3 linked regions of the Caenorhabditis elegans genome follow. The protein of the gene in region 1 purifies or fractionates together with the protein of each later gene. This does not show direct contact. Each region holds a gene or a part of one and is shown in the gene's direction. Other genes may lie near its edges. The genes, in order: ubxn-4, cdc-48.1 and cdc-48.2.

The links.
Region 2: the proteins of ubxn-4 (region 1) and cdc-48.1 purify together in Caenorhabditis elegans (affinity purification with western blotting, with the first as the bait; one study listed by BioGRID). This does not show direct contact.
Region 3: the proteins of ubxn-4 (region 1) and cdc-48.2 purify together in Caenorhabditis elegans (affinity purification with western blotting, with the first as the bait; one study listed by BioGRID). This does not show direct contact.

The regions. Positions count from the first base shown.
Region 1 is NC_003281.10:8,402,486-8,407,900, reverse strand, and holds ubxn-4 (UBX domain-containing protein 4), read left to right. Parts: upstream 1-2,478; 5' UTR 2,479-2,479; coding exon 2,480-2,690; intron 2,691-2,743; coding exon 2,744-3,269; intron 3,270-3,313; coding exon 3,314-3,421; intron 3,422-3,466; coding exon 3,467-3,941; intron 3,942-3,987; coding exon 3,988-4,077; 3' UTR 4,078-4,183; downstream 4,184-5,415. Other genes in the region: cyy-1 (Cyclin-Y), read right to left, coding at 1-121, 801-920, 975-1,117, 1,163-1,279, 1,329-1,403, 1,451-1,535, 1,795-1,893; cutc-1 (Copper homeostasis protein cutC homolog), read left to right, coding at 4,294-4,610, 4,943-5,378.
Region 2 is NC_003280.10:10,558,887-10,565,756, reverse strand, and holds cdc-48.1 (Transitional endoplasmic reticulum ATPase homolog 1), read left to right. Parts: upstream 1-2,349; 5' UTR 2,350-2,366; coding exon 2,367-2,564; intron 2,565-2,692; exon of another isoform or gene 2,693-2,805; intron 2,806-2,842; coding exon 2,843-3,670; intron 3,671-3,716; coding exon 3,717-4,789; intron 4,790-4,822; exon of another isoform or gene 4,823-5,040; intron 5,041-5,044; coding exon 5,045-5,239; intron 5,240-5,288; coding exon 5,289-5,424; 3' UTR 5,425-5,726; downstream 5,727-6,870. Other genes in the region: C06A1.7 (uncharacterized protein), read right to left, coding at 356-748, 795-845; C06A1.6 (uncharacterized protein), read left to right, coding at 1,081-1,146, 1,190-1,582. UniProt on the Caenorhabditis elegans protein: ATP-dependent chaperone which probably uses the energy provided by ATP hydrolysis to generate mechanical force to unfold substrate proteins, disassemble protein complexes, and disaggregate protein aggregates.
Region 3 is NC_003280.10:8,136,258-8,142,688, forward strand, and holds cdc-48.2 (Transitional endoplasmic reticulum ATPase homolog 2), read left to right. Parts: upstream 1-2,238; 5' UTR 2,239-2,253; coding exon 2,254-2,325; intron 2,326-2,373; coding exon 2,374-2,699; intron 2,700-2,745; coding exon 2,746-3,721; intron 3,722-3,773; coding exon 3,774-4,492; intron 4,493-4,551; coding exon 4,552-4,891; 3' UTR 4,892-4,973; downstream 4,974-6,431. Other genes in the region: ctns-1 (Cystinosin homolog), read right to left, coding at 1-183, 234-425, 517-650; ints-11 (Integrator complex subunit 11), read right to left, coding at 5,029-5,382, 5,429-5,512, 5,559-6,431. UniProt on the Caenorhabditis elegans protein: ATP-dependent chaperone which probably uses the energy provided by ATP hydrolysis to generate mechanical force to unfold substrate proteins, disassemble protein complexes, and disaggregate protein aggregates.

The DNA.
Region 1 (5,415 bases):
TCCAAACAGCTTGATCATCCCATACTTTTGATGCCAACATGATTGAACCGAGTACAACCCGACGCCAATTTGAAGGACACAAATCCATTTCTGCGTAATTAAGCAATCGTTCGATGTACACCTGAAAAAATGGTTTTCGCGTTTTTATACAAAATTGATAAATTTATTAAAGAAAAGAGAAATGCGTCGGCAGCAGAAAATCAAAATTGGGTAATTCAACTACGATAGCGAAAAGTTAAAATATTACCAGTGCGTGAATTTTTTGCGCTACAAATACAGTACATGGTCTCGACACGATAAATGCGGAAAGGTGTGCGTCTTTAAAGATTACTGTAATTTCAAACTTTGGATCCCCGACATTTTCATAATTTTTTTTCTAATTTTCTCATGATCTGTTAAAATTTATGTAGTTTTTAACAAATCAATATTTTTCATCGGAAAAATACGAAAAATCAATGAAAATTCCGTAGTCGAAAGAATTTGAAATTACCATTTTTTTTCATAGAAAAACTTTGTTTTTTTTCAGAAAAAATCTTTAAAAAAGAAGAATAATGGCCAAAAATTTATAAGTTATTTTTTTTCGAAAATTAGATTTTTTAATGTCGGAAAAACGAAAATTTTAATTTTTCATTAAAATCGAATAACGAAAATTTTTGAACCTTTTTTGGCACAAAAATTGCAAAACGTTGTGTCTTTTTAATATTTTTTCAATAGAACAAGGCGAATCTTCTACACAAATACATTTTTGCCAAATCTCATGATATTCATTTAAAAAGATTTTAACCGAAAAAAAAACTCACCAAAGTAATAATAGCACATTCGGCGGTCAACTGCGCAGAACTAAACAGATTTCTGACAAACCGATAAATATTCCGATGATCAGGATCCCGTGTCATTTGCTCTGGAGGTATAGGATCTCTCTGAAAAATCTTCGAAAAATGTATGGAACTTATGGATTGATTGATAAAACTTACGAAAATCGGATGAAGTCGTTCTTCGAAAATCTCCATTAGTCGCTCGTGTCCACGATTTTTACGATTTGAAATATGATAATATATTGCAAGAGAAATGCATTTTATTGTATTCTTAAGATGAGGTTGACTGACTGTTGAATCATCTAAAATTTGAGAAATCAGAGAATGTTTATGAAATCTTTAATTACCAATATAAATAGTACTGCAGCTGCTTGATTTACGCAGGCTTCTGGGTAAAATTCCGGGATGATGACCACCAGCTGCCAATGCATCCAACATATAACATGAACGACGATTGTCTTTTACTGGAATTGATAAGAATAGATTCAAGGATTAGAAGAAAAAGAATTTTACATTTCATTTCACTTTTACTTCGTTCCATAAATGTTGGCCGAGCTGTTGGATTCGTTGATGGATCTTCCTCGTATCCTTAAAAAATATGAATTTAAAAATATATACTTCAGTGATATAATTACCTTCTGTTACCTCTCGTTCACTTATGTGAGGAAGGAAGTTTGTCGATGTTTCATCACGAGGGAACACTTGATTGACATACTGGAACTGAATTTTAAATTTAGGTTTTTGTAGAAAGAGGTTTTCGAATATTTTTACCTTTAAAATATAATTTTAAATAATCTTGTACTCGTGAAGCTTATTAAAGCCCTTTAAACCAAATTTGTGTAAATAAAAAATATTATTCTCTTCGAAATGTATATTTTCAGAGCTTTATAGTTTTTTTTTAAATTAAAAACAATTATTCCAACAATCGATATCAAAGTTTCCATTTATGCAAACTTTTTCAAAAAATAACTTTGTATACCTCCACTTGATTAGTTCTAATATACTGTCCATCATTATTATACGATTTGTCCTCTCCGCTCGACGACCTCGTTCGCAGACAACACGATGAATTTCCCATCACCTGTAAACAATTATTGGTTTAAATTCAAAGTTTCAAAGACAATGTTACTAATTTCAACTTACGGAACACGTTTAATCTCCAAAAACCAAAATTATCGCATTAGGAGTGACTAGAAACTTGGGAAGCGAGTCCTGCAAATTAATGGAAAATCGATAAAGTGTGGGGAACGGAGCACAAGAAAAAATCTGTCTAGTAATGTTTATTCAATTGTTAATTGATAAATTGTTTGCAAATTAAATATAAAACAAATATTTTCTATGAGAAAAGCGAAGAAAAACAGAGAAAAATCCATTTCTTCAATGTAAAAATCGCAGAGAGCGGTGGTGGGCGGAGTTTATGGCAGGAGGCGGAGTCGGAATGCAACCCCCGCACGGTTTCTTCTCTCCACGAATTATTCGACGTCTTTTTATTTTTATAAATTTTTTAGCCACTTTTTTATTTATTTTGCTGGAATAAATCAATTAAGAACGCTTTCTGTAGAAAATTTTAGGTTATTTTATCTCAATAACTAAATGTTTACTCTTCGATTTCTGAAAATCGTATCTTTTCACATGAATCGATAAGTTATATTAAAATTTACAGAATGCAGTGGTTTGGTGGCAACGTAGCGACTGCGATTCAAATTTCCCGTAAGAACAAAGCTCTTCTCATTGTATATATCACCACGGATTCGGAAGATGGCCAGATTTTCGATGGGTTTTGGCAACATATCGATTCGTCAAATCTTTTATGCGCAGTAGTGGGAATAAAACTGAAAGCTGGTGAAACTTCTGCCCAGCAGTTTGCTGATATTTGTAAGTTGGAATGTTTAAATTATAGCAGTTCAGCCAAAATGTTATCTTTTTAGATCCTACACCAATTCTGCCAGCAGCATATCTAATCGATCAAAATGGAAAACCTTTGGAAGTCATCACTCCGCTCGTTGGAAAAACATATGACCAGTTCCGAGCCAAATTTGATAAAGCTACTGCTCAATTCGTCAATGGGATGCCAACAGCAGCTGCAAATCAACTTTCAACACCTAGTCCTTCTCCCGCCCCTGTCCAAGTACCAGCGTCAACGGATGCCCCAATCCCAGCCCCAACACCTGTTACAGCACCAATTCAATCTTCATCAACTTCTCAGGAAATGACTCGTGAACTTGCAGAGAAGGTAGCAAGAGCTAAAGCTCTTCTAGAGCAAAAAAAGCAAAAAGATGCTGAAAAGAAGCGAGAGGCCGACAAACATGTAAAGGAAGAAATGACAAAAGCACGCGAAGCAAAACAGGAAAGAGATGCTGAAGCGTTGGTCAAAGCAGCGAAACAGAGGAAGATGGAAAAATTGGCAGCCGAAAGTGATAAGAAACGAATTTTGGCCCAAATTAAAGCTGATCGGTAAGATTTTAATTTAGTGTTTCTAAAATATAAATATTTTTCAGCGAAGCTGCTCAGAAAAAGTTCGGGAAACTTGTGAACACTGAAAACGCTTCGGAGAATACTGAAAAGAAACAAGAAACCACTGTTGGAAAGGCTGTGCCATCAGACAGGTTAGAAAATTAATTGATAACTGATAATTTATGAATTTATTGTAGGTGTCGTCTACAAGTTCGACTTCCTGATGGTTCTACTTTTGTAGAAGAATTTCCTTCAAATGATGTTCTCAATTCTCTCGTAGAGATCATTCGTCAAAAGCCCTCTATTGCTGGAACTACTTTTGAAATTCAGCAACCGTATCCACGCCGCATATTTACAAATGATGACTATTCGAAAACATTCCTCGAGAATCAATTAACACCCTCTACCGCACTTGTCGTAATTCAAAAATCGTCGGGTTCCTCTTCAAATTATGGATCTTTCTCGCTCAGTACTCAAACCGTATCCTTTGTAACATGGGTTTTATACCCACTCACTGCTTTTTGGAATATTTTCTGTGGTATGATTGGCTGGAATTCTACCGGAAAACAACAAGACTCGAAATCTAAGAAAAACGATGGGCCATCTACATCGGGTCAATCAGGATCACAACCACAAAGACGCGGGATGCCAAGGAGTGCGGAAGTTCGTCGGGTTTGTGTGCATTGTTATTTTCTTTCCATAATGAAATTATTTTCAGCGTGGAAACGTCGCAGGGCTTGAAAATCCGAATGAAGACGATCCTGAAGAGCGAGCCAGTTTCAATGGAAATTCTACTCAGTTCATGTAATAATGTAAATTTCTTGTCGCCTGTGATTCCAACACCAAAAGTTCATCGCCATGGATAATTTATTTTTTGCTCGTTTATAATTCGAATCGAATAAAAGTTTTCATTTATCCCAGATATGTTCAGTTTTCTTGCTGAGTTTTCGGATTTTAAACCATAACTTTATACCTATTCTTTACAATGTTAAAAACATATTTTCTCAAACTCTATTGTGTTAAGATGACAGAAACAGAATCCCAGAAGCAAATAAAACTGGAAATATGCATCGATAATCTGGAATCTGCGGAAAATGCTGTTGCCGGTGGAGCTGATCGATTGGAAGTTTGCTCAGCTTTACAACTCGGAGGGCTCACTCCATCCGTCGGATTTGTGTCTATTCTGAGCTACAAGTATCCCGATATTCCACTTTATTGTATGATTCGCCAACGGGCAGGCGATTTTGTGTATAATGAAGACGAAATGGCAGCGAATATGGAAGACGTTGAATGGCTCAAAAAAGCTGGTGCCACAGGATTCGTTTTTGGAGCATTAACATCGTAAGTCGGAGAGTTTTAAATTGAATGAAACAAATAAATATATTATAATTTTATTTCCAACATGTTTAAATGAAAAAAGAAAAACATATTCTTGTTTCATTTCGAATTTTTCACCATTTTCCGCAAATAAATTCTCAATCAAGTTTATCAATAAAAATTTTACATAACATTTAAATAATTATTTTTAGGCTGACTTAATTTTTGAACAATGCGGAAAGCTTGTTTTTAAAAAACATTTAAAATGCATAGACATGCGGCAAAATTACGAAAGAAGTTTTGTAATTATAACGGTTGATTGCTCTGGATGATCCACAAAAAATTTCAATTTTCAGAGCCGGTTCATTGGATCGTACATCATGTCAATCAATAATTGAAACTGCCCGTCCACATCCTGTCACATTTCATCGAGCAATTGACGTCGCCTATGACTGGAAAACTTGTCTTGAGGACGCTATTGATGTTGGATTCAAAGCTGTTTTGACAAGTGGACAAGAGCCGTCAGCACTCGACGGAGTTTATATCATTCGAGAAATGCAAGAACTTCACAAAGGAAAGATCGATGTTCTCGCAGGTTGTGGTGTGAACAGTTCGAATGTCGCGAATCTTGTCGAATGGACTAAATGTCACTGGTATCATGCTTCAGCTTCTGTTGCCAAGAAAAATGCTCCATTGAATAAGGTGTCAATGGGAAAACAGGACAATCAGCCATCACGTGTCACTTCTTTGGAAGAAGTACGGATGTTGAAAGCGACATTGGCCCCCGTTTAATTATGTTCAATTCTTTTTCATGTCATATTCCAGTCTA
Region 2 (6,870 bases), on another chromosome or scaffold:
GTTCCAGACAAGCACAAAGTCTTAGAGTAACGAGAATATGTTCCAGAAATCCTCAAATGTATTCCTCTTGTTGTTTTCTCTTGGTGCAAAACTTTGAAACGGATGCTCGTCAGTACTGACGTAAAATGGAACGAGTTGAAATTGTGACACTCCCTGTCTATCTCTTGTTTTTCTTCCGTTTTGCATTCGGTCTCAAGATTATCTCAAAATTATTAAATGCAAAAATTTAAATACAACAGAATAAATAATTTAAGTTGAAAGAGGACGGTTTTTCTGCAGGGTACATAAGAATGCTTTATTTTAACCTTCTTGTTTATTAAATTAAATTTAATTAATTAAGAAAATAGATTAAGGTTCAACATTTGCCATTGGATGACCTTCTTCTGATTCCAAGAGCACGATTAGCTTCATCAATTTGAAGCTTTTGAAGGGAACGACGCTTACGGCCTCCACCTCCACATCCACAGCATCCGCATCCGCAACCACATCCACAACAGCATGGTCTACAGCAGGTACAACATCTAGTACAGCAACAAGTTCTACAACAAGTACAACAACATTTGGGTCTACAACAGCAGCAGCATCTTGGTCTGCAGCAGCAACATCCACATCCACCACCACCTCCTCCACATCCACAACATCCACAACATCCTCCATTTCTTTTAACACGAGAAGATCCGATAATTGATGTTTCAGATGAAATTATAGATATTTCTGTTGTTGATACTGGCAAAACTCCTGATTCAACCTATAATAGTATTGTGTTTTCTAACATTTAGAACCTTTACCGATACCTGTGAAATAGCAATAAGGGCAAAGAGAGTCAGAAGTACGATCTTATTCATTTCAGATTATTAGCGTTCGATATGGTTTTCGAATTTCCATCCATTAAATACCCTCTTCTTCTTACGTGTTTGTCGTCTCTCATTTGACACTTTTGCCGGAAACCATTTTTTGTGATCTCTCCGCGCGAGCCGCGTCATGGAAATTGAACACAAAAACTAAGACACTTTGGATCATGGAAAAGTTATATAAAAGCACCATAAAATTGAGATATTCATCAGTTTCTATTCGATCAAAATGACCAAATTCATAATTGGATCTACATTAGTTGTACTGATTTATACAATTGTATCGATTTCACAGGTTAGATTAATAGATTTAGTTCTCGTATTTAAGAAACTTATAGGTTGAATCAGGAGTTTTGCCAGTATCAACAACAGAAATATCTATAATTTCATCTGAAACATCAATTATCGGATCTTCTCGTGTTAAAAGAAATGGAGGATGTTGTGGATGTTGTGGATGTGGAGGAGGTGGTGGTGGATGTGGATGTTGCTGTTGCAGACCAAGATGCTGCTGCTGTTGTAGACCCAAATGTTGTTGTACTTGTTGTAGAACTTGTTGCTGTACTAGATGTTGTACCTGCTGTAGACCATGCTGTTGTGGATGTGGTTGCGGATGCGGATGCTGTGGATGTGGAGGTGGAGGTCGTAAACGTCGTTCCCTTCAAAAACTTCAAATTGATGAAGCTAATCGTGCTCTTGGAATCAAAAGAAGACCATCCAATGGCAAATGTTAATCCATTAATCTATTTGTTTAATTTATTCTAATTCTCGATCGGGAATAAATAATTTGGAAATTATTCAACTTATTAAATTCATAGATCTGGGAAACTATCAAGAATCAAAATCTTAAGACTATTCTCCTCTCGTCTCGTTTCACATCTCTTCGTTCTCCGTCTATCGATCGGGTGATGCTGCAAATCATTTTTATCGATCTACAAAGTGCTGCATTTACTAACGGCATATCGTTTCGAGACCCAAACGCTGATGTGCGTTATTGCAAATAACAGTTATTTTTCCAAACCAGCATTACATTACAGTCCACTTTTTTTCCTTTTCATATTTTCATCCTGGACCCAGCTACATACATTACCGCAAACGTGCAAACGGTAGATTTTATTTACTAGTTCCTTTTTTCCGAAAAATTTCAAAAAATTGTAAACTGCGTTTCCGTTTTCAAAGAACTTTTTTGAAGTTTCAACGCTTTTCATCGCAAATATTTACAAATACGTCTCGTTATTTAGAAATTTTAAAATTTTTTGAACAGTGAAAATCCTTTTCAAACTTCGCGCTAAAATTATAAAGCAACCGCGCCCTAACGTCAGAATCACCAAACACTTTTTGCGTACACTTGTTGAAAACACGCTTCTATATGCGTGGATGATGACAATTTTCAAATCTGTGTCGTTTTTAGAAATAATTTCGTGAACTTTTTTAAAATCTCAATTTTCTTTTATAGTTTCGTTCCCACTATCATTTTGGACACTCATTCTTCTTATTTTAGGTCTTAAATTGTACATAATGGCCTCGGTTCCAACGCATCAAAGCGAAAAAGAGAAGAAAAATGATGAGCTGTCGACAGCTATTCTCAAGGACAAGGTAAAGCCGAATCGCTTGATCGTCGATCAGTCCGAGCAGGATGATAATTCCGTCATCGCAGTTTCCCAAGCTAAAATGGACGAACTGGGACTTTTCCGTGGAGATGCTGTCATCCTGAAGGTATGTGTTTCTTTTTAATTTTTGATTAAAACGCACAATTTAAGAACTTGTAATGTCTGTGATTTACAATATAGGCTGAAAAACGTTCTGTTTTGAAGCTAGTACTGTTTATTTGCTGATGGTTTTATGAGTGTCATAGTTGTGCGATATAGATCAAGTAACGAATCGTTTCAAAGTATTTCGTAATCCTAACACCACGCAAAGGTGCTGATCTCGATTTTTAAACGGTTGTCACACAATTAAATTTTATTTTTCGATTCTAATGATTATTTTTGCAGGGAAAGAAGCGAAAGGAATCTGTCGCCATCATTGTCTCTGATGAGTCCTGTCCAAACGAGAAAGTTCGCATGAACCGTGTTGTCCGCAACAATCTTCGTATTCGCCTCGGAGACGTCGTGAGCATTACGCCAGCTCCAAATCTCAGTTACGGAACCCGCATTCACGTGCTCCCTATTGATGACACTATCGAAGGACTCACTGGAAACTTGTTCGATGTTTTCCTCAAGCCATACTTCCTGGAGGCTTACCGCCCACTTCACAAGGGAGATATATTCACTGTTCAAGCTGCCATGAGAACTGTGGAATTCAAAGTTGTCGAAACTGAGCCAGCTCCAGCCTGCATTGTGTCACCTGATACCATGATTCACTACGAAGGAGATCCGATCAAGAGAGAAGAAGAAGAAGAGAGCATGAATGATATTGGTTATGATGACTTGGGAGGAGTTCGGAAGCAATTGGCTCAGATCAAGGAAATGGTTGAACTGCCACTTCGACATCCCCAACTTTTCAAGGCTATTGGTATCAAGCCACCACGTGGAATTCTTCTCTTCGGTCCACCTGGCACAGGAAAGACTCTTATTGCACGTGCTGTTGCTAATGAAACCGGATCTTTCTTCTTCCTTATCAACGGACCTGAAGTAATGTCAAAGATGTCTGGAGAATCCGAGTCAAATCTTCGTAAGGCTTTCGAAGAATGCGAGAAGAATCAACCAGCTATTCTGTTTATTGACGAAATTGACGCCATTGCACCAAAACGCGAGAAGACCAATGGAGAAGTTGAGCGCAGAATTGTTTCTCAATTGCTTACACTTATGGATGGAGTCAAGGTATGCTTTTAAATTTTATATGATTCGATAATAATAATTATTTTAGGGTCGTTCTAACCTTGTGGTCATTGCTGCAACAAATCGTCCAAACTCGATTGACGGTGCTCTTCGTCGCTTCGGAAGATTCGATCGTGAAATCGATATCGGAATTCCAGATGCAGTCGGCCGGCTTGAGATTCTGCGCATTCACACGAAAAACATGAAGCTCGCGGATGATGTTGATCTTGAACAAATTGCAAATGAATGTCACGGATTCGTTGGTGCCGATTTGGCATCGTTGTGCTCGGAAGCCGCTCTTCAACAGATTCGTGAAAAGATGGAGCTCATTGATCTCGAAGATGACCAAATTGATGCAGAGGTTCTTAATTCACTCGCTGTCACAATGGAAAACTTCCGTTTTGCTCAAGGAAAGTCTTCCCCATCCGCTCTCCGCGAGGCTGTTGTCGAAACTCCGAATACAACTTGGTCCGACATTGGAGGTCTTCAAAACGTCAAGCGCGAACTTCAAGAATTGGTTCAGTATCCAGTGGAACACCCAGAAAAATATCTCAAGTTTGGAATGCAGCCATCAAGAGGAGTTTTGTTCTATGGGCCACCAGGATGTGGTAAGACACTTCTTGCCAAGGCAATTGCCAACGAGTGTCAAGCCAATTTCATCTCCATCAAGGGTCCAGAATTGCTCACAATGTGGTTCGGAGAATCGGAAGCTAACGTCCGTGATGTCTTCGACAAGGCTCGTGCAGCTGCTCCTTGCGTGTTGTTCTTCGATGAGTTGGATTCGATTGCCAAGGCAAGAGGTGGAGGCGCCGGCGGTGATGGAGGAGGTGCATCGGATCGTGTAATCAATCAAGTGCTCACCGAAATGGATGGAATGAACGCGAAGAAAAATGTGTTCATCATCGGAGCTACAAACAGACCTGATATCATTGATCCAGCTGTTCTTCGTCCAGGTCGCCTTGATCAGCTTATCTACATCCCACTCCCAGACGAAGCTTCTCGGCACCAAATTTTGAAAGCTTCTCTTCGTAAAACCCCACTCTCCAAGGATCTTGACTTGACCTTCTTGGCCAAAAACACTGTTGGATTCTCTGGAGCCGATTTGACCGAAATTTGTCAGAGGTGAGTAATTTAATTATTTGAAAATTTGTTCAAAACGCACAACTTAAGAACTTGCGAAATCTACACATTCTTGGCTCTTCTTAGCTGCGTTTTGCAGTTCAGATTCTGCCAAGTTTTGTGTTCATGGTTACGCGAGTGTCATATTTGTGCTATATAAAAAATCGTCTCACAGTAAATTATAATAGTTAGAGTATCTAAAGTCGCGCTAAGGCCCCGATATTCTATTTTTCCTGGTGTGAACGATGACATTTTCAGAGCGTGTAAGCTGGCTATTCGCGAATCGATCGAAAAGGAAATTCGGATTGAGAAGGAACGTCAAGATCGCCAAGCTCGCGGTGAGGAGCTCATGGAAGACGATGCAGTTGATCCAGTACCAGAAATTACTCGTGCTCACTTCGAGGAAGCCATGAAGTTTGCCAGACGCTCTGTTACAGACAATGACATCAGAAAGTGAGTTTTGATAATGGTTTTATTGTATGTCTATAAAATATGTTTGTAGGTACGAAATGTTTGCACAAACATTGCAACAATCTCGTGGCTTTGGAAACAACTTCAAATTCCCAGGAGAACAACGCGGAAGCGATGCCCCATCTGCCCCTGTACCTGCTCAGGATGATGACGACCTTTATAACTAATGTATTGAGTTTATCTACTGAGTCTATGTATGATACTCGTTTTATTTTCTCCCATACCCACTTTTTCACCTCGTATTTCACCCCTTTCCAACCCCCGATTTACCACTATTTATTGTAATTGAGCCCATGTTTTCGCTTTAGAAATTAATGGTTACGGATGATCTTCGCGAGAAGAAAAAATTTGTAGATACCTACATCCCAGTTGATCAAAAAGTATATCCCATTTATTTTTTTGCATCCCTCCCAATGTTTTGTATGTATTGCCGTTTTTGACATATAAATGTACGATGTCTGTAATCATAATTGTGTACGATTGTGTTGCCATATTCAAACTATTATTTGTGATTGTGTAGGTGGAATTGTCTCATGACCAATGACTGGTTGTTCCGTTGATAATGGGAAGCTGTATTTAAGATAAGTTGCCTAAGTTTAACGTAATTTTTTGGACCAGGTTTTAATATCAATCATCAAACCTATTTAGCGATCCAGTTGTTCTTGATCTTTTGGAAAGTAGAAGTGCTTTTTCATTCATTGATATCATTTTCCATCGATATTGTCTCCACACTCATAGGAGTGCACGCATTTCGTACATAGTCATGAGGTTTTTAACAAAGAAAATGCCGAATTGAGTACTATAGTTGCTTATCTTCAAGCTTGTTGAACTCGTTTCTGGCCAATTTTCAAAAATTCCTTGTCCTCGTTGTCTGTCACATGAATCTTTTAGATCAGATATTAATATTGATAGTAACTGATAAGTGCCAATAGTTTTCAAATTCTTAAAAATATCTGAAAACACAAAATTTGCCGCAAATATGCACATTTTTGTAAGAAACACCGTCACGAACAAATTCACACTACAGTGCTTTTGTTTTTTTTTTCTAGAAAAATTGGTTTTTCATGCCTGAAAGTCGCATTTCTACTATTTATTTTCCATTACTTTAGTCGTATTTCTTCTCGTGAGACACAAAAAAACAGTCTTTTCACAACTGAACGGCATGCACTTTTGAATACGGTGCCTGCGAGACAGAGATCACATGCCATCCAATGTCGCCCGGGAATCTTGTGACCCATTCGCTCTCTCGAATAAATAAATCAAAAAAAGCGGCAAGAATCAGTTTCATGGATCTTTTCGATGCATACGAATGACTTCTCAGCCTTCAGACTTTCCGAAGGTCAAAAGAAAAAGAACCGGCGACAATTCGAAAAACGAATAAAAAGTGTGAACTCGTGACCATCTCTTCTGGCACCGCTGGCTGCTGCGCGCTCCCCGTTGGACGCAATTTGCAATCTCTCTGTGCATGCCTCCTCGATTTATGTGATCCCTCGTACTTACGTGTCACGCGCCACCATCCGTCACGTATATCTACACGTGCATGTTTTTTCTTGTGGAGTACTAGTATGAGTTATGAAGCTCTTTTTTTTAGAATTTGAACTCTTGGCTTCTTC
Region 3 (6,431 bases), on another chromosome or scaffold:
ACAAGGTTCAGAGATAAGAAATCGAAGTTTAGCCCGACGACGCTTTTTCTTTTGAAATTCAGATACATTTGGGGATAAAACGAAATACTCCATGCGAAGAAGTATGTCCATCCAACAATTTGAATCAAAATGGCAAGAAAGTGAGAGCGAATAACTGTGATTCTAGCAAACGCATCTTCAAGACTGGAAATGAGTTTTGATTTAATTTTTACAATATATAATCATCGACTCACTCCAGAGGACAAGTAATTGACCCATCTGTAGTACAATTGAGAGCTTCTAAAATAGCTCCGGACACCAATTGGCTTCCTAAAACTGTCACATTAGCATTCCAATTGTCAACGAGAATAGCATCAGGATGGGAGATGTATGGTGACTGCGAGAGGGAGATACGTGTTGCGTTCAATGATTGTGATGTGTGGTTTCTGAAAATTATATTGATTGAATACAGCACATGTTCGTATGATTGTTTTTATTTTATAACCTGTTGGATGAAAAATATTATTAATAACTCACTTGATCTGGAAATTAACAGAGACTTCTCCTCCAATTACAATTTCCAATTCTTTCTGTCTAACAACTAAATTATTTGTCGCAAATGTGAATGGAACCAAGAAGAGAACGAGCAAAAATGCCACCGGGAAACTCATTATATCATTCTGGAAACAATTATACTTCAAAAAATGGAAGCAAAATATAAAACAGGAGTTGTGAATAGAGAAAACGACGCTTTATATCATCAGTTTTGGCATTGAAATGAATCAATAACATAAATTGAGCGAGAAAAAGAGAAACAGCAAAATAGTGAAAAACGAATGATTGACCGAGAGAACGGGGGAAGGTTGGAATTTTTGTAAACAAACGAGGGAAACATCATGTTGAAAACATATATATACACATTTTTTATTTAATGCGTCGGAATATTCAGAAAATCGTTCAGATCATCGATAATTTTTATTGATAAAAGACCAAAAATCCAGTTTACATGAGGAAAACAATACACTGTGAATTTTAAAGAAAATTAAATATTCCAAAAAAATTTAATTTAATTTGTAATTTGGGAAACTGAAACAATAAAACACTATCGAAAACTTAAAAAAAAACATGGATTGAAGCTCAAAAAAACTGTTTTAATGTTTCGTTTTGTAGAACTTTAGATTTTTGTAAAGCGGGAGACACCACGAATCCGCAAGAAGTTTCTTCCAGAAGCAGATTCGCTGAAAAAAAATGAAGTTGTCTTAAACCTGATGCTTTTTTTTGATAATTTTTATACATTATGTGGTTTCCTGGTTGGCCATTTTGTTAAAATCATTATTTCCTGTAATAAAAGTCAGGCGTTCTCAGTTATTTCCAGATATCGGATTCCTAAAATAGCTGAACTCCAAAAAACGGTCAAGTCTCTGAACACCAAACGCGCTCCTTCGAACAAAAAAAGCAGCGCGTACGTTTAACGAACAGTTTTTTCTTCTAGAAATTGTTTTCTCATTGCGCAATGCATTGCTCATTATAAATAATTATGTTTTAAACAGTTGCTGGGAGGTTTTCGCTATCTCAGTCGTTGTTAAACAATTACCAGAGTGTGTTATCGTATTTATCTTTGCCGTATAATATCTTTTCCATATTTATGCGATTGCGGAAATTTACCACTGACTCTGCGGAAACTGCGGAAATTTACCACTGAAATATCACTCATATCGTACGTTTCTTTGAATTCGTCTCCTTGTTATTCAAATTATGTCTTCGTTTTTGAACGAGATATTTACCTCTAGCTTTCTAGATCGTCACATCACTTAGGTTCGCCTTGAACTTCTGTTCCGCTAAAGACGGCTGGTTCACATATATTTTTAACAATGTAATTATTACTTATGACCCGAATAAAACGGTAGAACGCTTTGTGAAATTATTCGAAAGCAAATGCGCCCCAAGGAGAGAGTGTGAATGAGAGGCTGCGTTTTGTCATCATGTAGAGGCAGCATTGGGGTGTTCTGTAGAGAACTTAGTCTACGTGTCTCATCTTCCATATTTCTTAATTTTGTTCTATTGGCTCTTTTTGCATCTCTTCTTTGATTCGATTCTTTAACTGAATTAGATCAGAAATTATACTTGAAGTTTTATCTTGAAAACCTACTGTAGAAAAGTTTGTCCGTGTTCTACTTTCTTATTAGACTTTCGCGTTTCGGCCTTTCCTATGTTCTACCCCCATCTTCCGTTCTTTTTTATTATTCCAAGATTTTACAGAGAAGTCGTTTAACCATGGCCTCAGTTCCGACTCAGAGAGACGAGAAGGAAAAGAAGAATGATGAGCTGGCTACGGCTATCTTGAAAGTAGGTTTTTCTCCAAGGTAATCATTTCAATATAATTAACTCTTTCAGGACAAAAAACGCCCAAACAGACTCATTATCGATCAGTCTGACAATGACGACAACTCCATGGTCATGCTCTCACAGGCCAAAATGGACGAGCTGGGACTCTTCCGTGGAGATTCGGTGATTTTGAAAGGAAAGAAACGAAGAGAGACTGTCTCTATCGTTCTTAATGCGGACAATTGCCCGAATGACAAGATCAAGATGAACAAAGTGGTTCGAAACAACCTCAGAAGCCGTCTTGGAGACGTTGTCAGTATCTCAAGTGCTCAACTCGAATATGGAAAAAGGGTTCATGTTCTTCCAATTGATGACACAATCGAGGGATTGACTGGGTATGTTCTTGCCACGGAGAAATAAAGACTGTATTTTTTATTTTAGAAATCTATTTGATGTCTTCCTTCGGCCATACTTTACCGACGCCTACCGCCCAGTGCACAAGGGAGACATATTCACTGTTCAAGCTGCAATGAGAACTGTCGAGTTCAAAGTTGTCGAGACGGATCCTGCTCCGGCGTGTATTGTTGCTCCAGATACTGTTATTCACTATGAAGGAGATCCAATTAAAAGAGAGGAAGAAGAGGAGGCTCTCAATGAAGTTGGATACGATGATCTCGGAGGTGTTCGTAAACAACTCGCTCAGATCAAGGAAATGGTTGAGCTCCCACTTCGCCATCCCCAACTTTTCAAGGCTATCGGAGTGAAACCACCACGTGGAATTCTTCTGTTCGGTCCACCAGGAACCGGTAAGACACTGATCGCAAGAGCTGTCGCCAACGAAACAGGAGCATTCTTCTTCCTCATTAACGGACCGGAAATTATGTCTAAAATGTCTGGAGAGTCGGAATCGAATCTTCGTAAAGCATTTGCCGAGTGTGAGAAGAACTCACCTGCTATTTTGTTCATTGACGAGATCGATGCGATTGCTCCAAAGAGAGAAAAGGCTCACGGTGAAGTCGAGAAGCGTATCGTCTCGCAACTTCTCACACTTATGGATGGACTTAAAACTCGCGCTCATGTTGTCGTGATCGCCGCTACTAATCGTCCTAACTCTATTGATGGAGCCCTTCGTCGTTTCGGTCGCTTTGATCGTGAAATTGACATTGGAATCCCTGATGCTGTTGGCCGTCTGGAAATTCTCAGAATTCATACCAAGAACATGAAATTAGGAGAAGACGTTGATTTGGAACAAGTTGCAAACGAATGCCACGGATTTGTCGGAGCTGATTTGGCTTCCCTCTGCTCTGAGGCTGCTATTCAGCAAATTCGCGAAAAGATGGAGCTGATTGATTTGGAGGATGATACAATTGATGCTGAAGTTCTCAATTCTTTGGCGGTCACTATGGAGAACTTTAGAGTAAGTTATCATTTTTTTGCACTTAAGAGACGTATCATTAATCATTTTTCAGTTCGCAATGGGAAAATCATCCCCATCTGCTCTTCGCGAAGCCGTTGTGGAAACTCCAAATACTACTTGGTCCGACATCGGAGGTCTTCAAAACGTCAAGCGCGAACTTCAGGAGCTCGTTCAATACCCTGTAGAGCATCCAGAAAAGTATCTCAAGTTCGGAATGCAACCATCTCGTGGAGTTTTGTTCTACGGTCCACCAGGATGCGGTAAAACACTTCTCGCTAAAGCGATTGCCAATGAATGCCAGGCTAACTTCATTTCCATCAAGGGACCCGAGCTTCTTACTATGTGGTTCGGAGAATCCGAAGCTAATGTTCGCGACGTGTTTGATAAAGCTCGTGCTGCCGCTCCATGCGTTCTCTTCTTTGACGAACTCGATTCGATCGCAAAGGCCAGAGGAGGAAGTGTAGGAGATGCTGGAGGTGCTGCCGATCGTGTTATCAACCAGGTTCTCACTGAAATGGATGGTATGAATGCCAAGAAAAACGTGTTCATTATTGGAGCTACCAATCGTCCTGATATCATTGATCCAGCTGTTCTTCGTCCAGGACGTCTCGATCAGTTGATCTACATTCCTCTTCCTGACGAAGCATCTAGACTTCAAATTTTCAAGGCCTCACTCCGCAAAACGCCCCTTTCCGCCGATCTCGATTTGAACTTCCTTGCCAAGAACACCGTCGGTTTTTCGGGAGCCGACTTAACCGAAATTTGCCAAAGGTTTGTTATAAAAATTAGTTAAAAAAATATTCGCATTTGTCAATTAATACCATTTTCAGAGCATGCAAGCTTGCCATTCGTGAATCAATTGAACGGGAAATTCGTCAGGAAAAGGAGCGTCAGGACAGAAGTGCTCGTGGAGAAGAACTTATGGAGGATGAACTGGCTGACCCAGTTCCAGAAATAACTAGAGCACACTTCGAGGAGGCAATGAAGTTCGCTAGACGTTCCGTGACTGATAACGATATCAGAAAATACGAGATGTTCGCCCAGACTCTTCAACAATCTCGTGGATTTGGAAACAACTTCAAGTTCCCAGGAGAAGCTCCTTCTGCTGGACAACCTGTTGGAGGAAACGGTGGCTCCGGTGGAAATGACGATGATGACCTGTACAACTAGATTTCGCTAAAATTGTTTTATTCTATTTATTGTAAATGCATCCTTGCGAGGGTATCAAATGTTCTCATGAATGTTAAATTTATTTCCAACTTTTACAAGTAAAAAAATCGTAACCGTAAAAAGTATTTGTTAAAATCTTATGCTTTAACAGAGATAGCAGGAGGGACCGGGGAGGATTCGGGTGAAATGAGATCAGTGATGGCTTTATGGATAACCTTGAACCACTGTTCACGGCATTCGTCCCAGATCAGTTCAAGCTCTGTTTCATCAGAATTGTTTGCTAAAATAGTGATTTCTCCATCAAACATTTCAATGCCGTCGTCTTTTAGTTGCAAGTGTGGATCATAGAGTAGAAGCTCGTTTGATAATTCCTTCCAATTCACTTTTTTGCCTTTGATGATTTCTGACAATGAGAGAGTGATCGGCATGCAGTTTTTATCTTTTATCAAATCTTCTGATTCTGCTGTAGACATGATATTCAGTCGTTCATTCTAAAATTATTTGAAGTTATTGCAAAATAAAGTTCAATAATCTTACTTCTTGATCGTAAACGAGCTCGGCGACAAATGGGCATTCCGATTTGGCAGGATTCGGATCGAGGCTTAGGCTTCTGTCAATTTTCTGGAATTTTTTATTTGAGTTCAATTTGTTTTAGAAACACACAAACCTCAAGTGGAACTCGTATATCAAGCTTCGGTTGAGCAGAAATCACTACAGTCTCTCCGTTTGCTGGCATGTGAACAGGTACTTTGTACTCCTTTTCCACTTTTCCTTTCAAGAACTCCATCTTTGAAGCTTCGCCGTGCACAAACATGACGTGTTGAGGCTCACATTGACGGATAAGCTGCATAATTCCTTTAGCATCAGCATGAGCACTAAACGACATGTATTCCACACCAAGTCGAATTTCGTGCATCTTTTGATCAATTTCAATTTTCTTTTCGCCATTAATAACTCTTGCTCCAACTGTTCCAGCGACACAGTAACCAGGCATAATGATCATGTTCAGAGGATCTGAGCACCATTTTTTGAAAACTTTGAGCGATTGACCTCCGTGAAGCATTCCAGGAGTAGAAAAGAGAACCTGAGGTCCTGGTTGATCTTCACATCCCTTTTCCATTGGTTTGATATGCTTGAATTCGAACATATTTCTTTCTACGAAAGTTTTCTTAATGTTCTCGTTGGTCCAGCTGATGAAAAGTCGGTAATACTGATTTGCCCGTTCTGCAAGACCTTGGGAAAAATAGATTGGTACGTTGAGAGCCATTCTCTCCCAATATGATTCAAGCAGGATACACAGCTCCTGCGCTCGTCCCAAGGCAAAGACTGGAATAATTACTTTTCCTCCTTTCATCACACATTCATGAACTTTTCGAAGGAAATCTCTTTCTCTTGCCCTTTTCGAATCACGGATTGTGGTCGCATATGTTGACTCAGAAATAAGGACAGTTGGTCTAACACCAGGAAGAACTCTCGCCGCTCCAAGATGCCTATCTGGAGTCATGTTGTAATCACCAGTGTATAGAACAGAATGATCTCC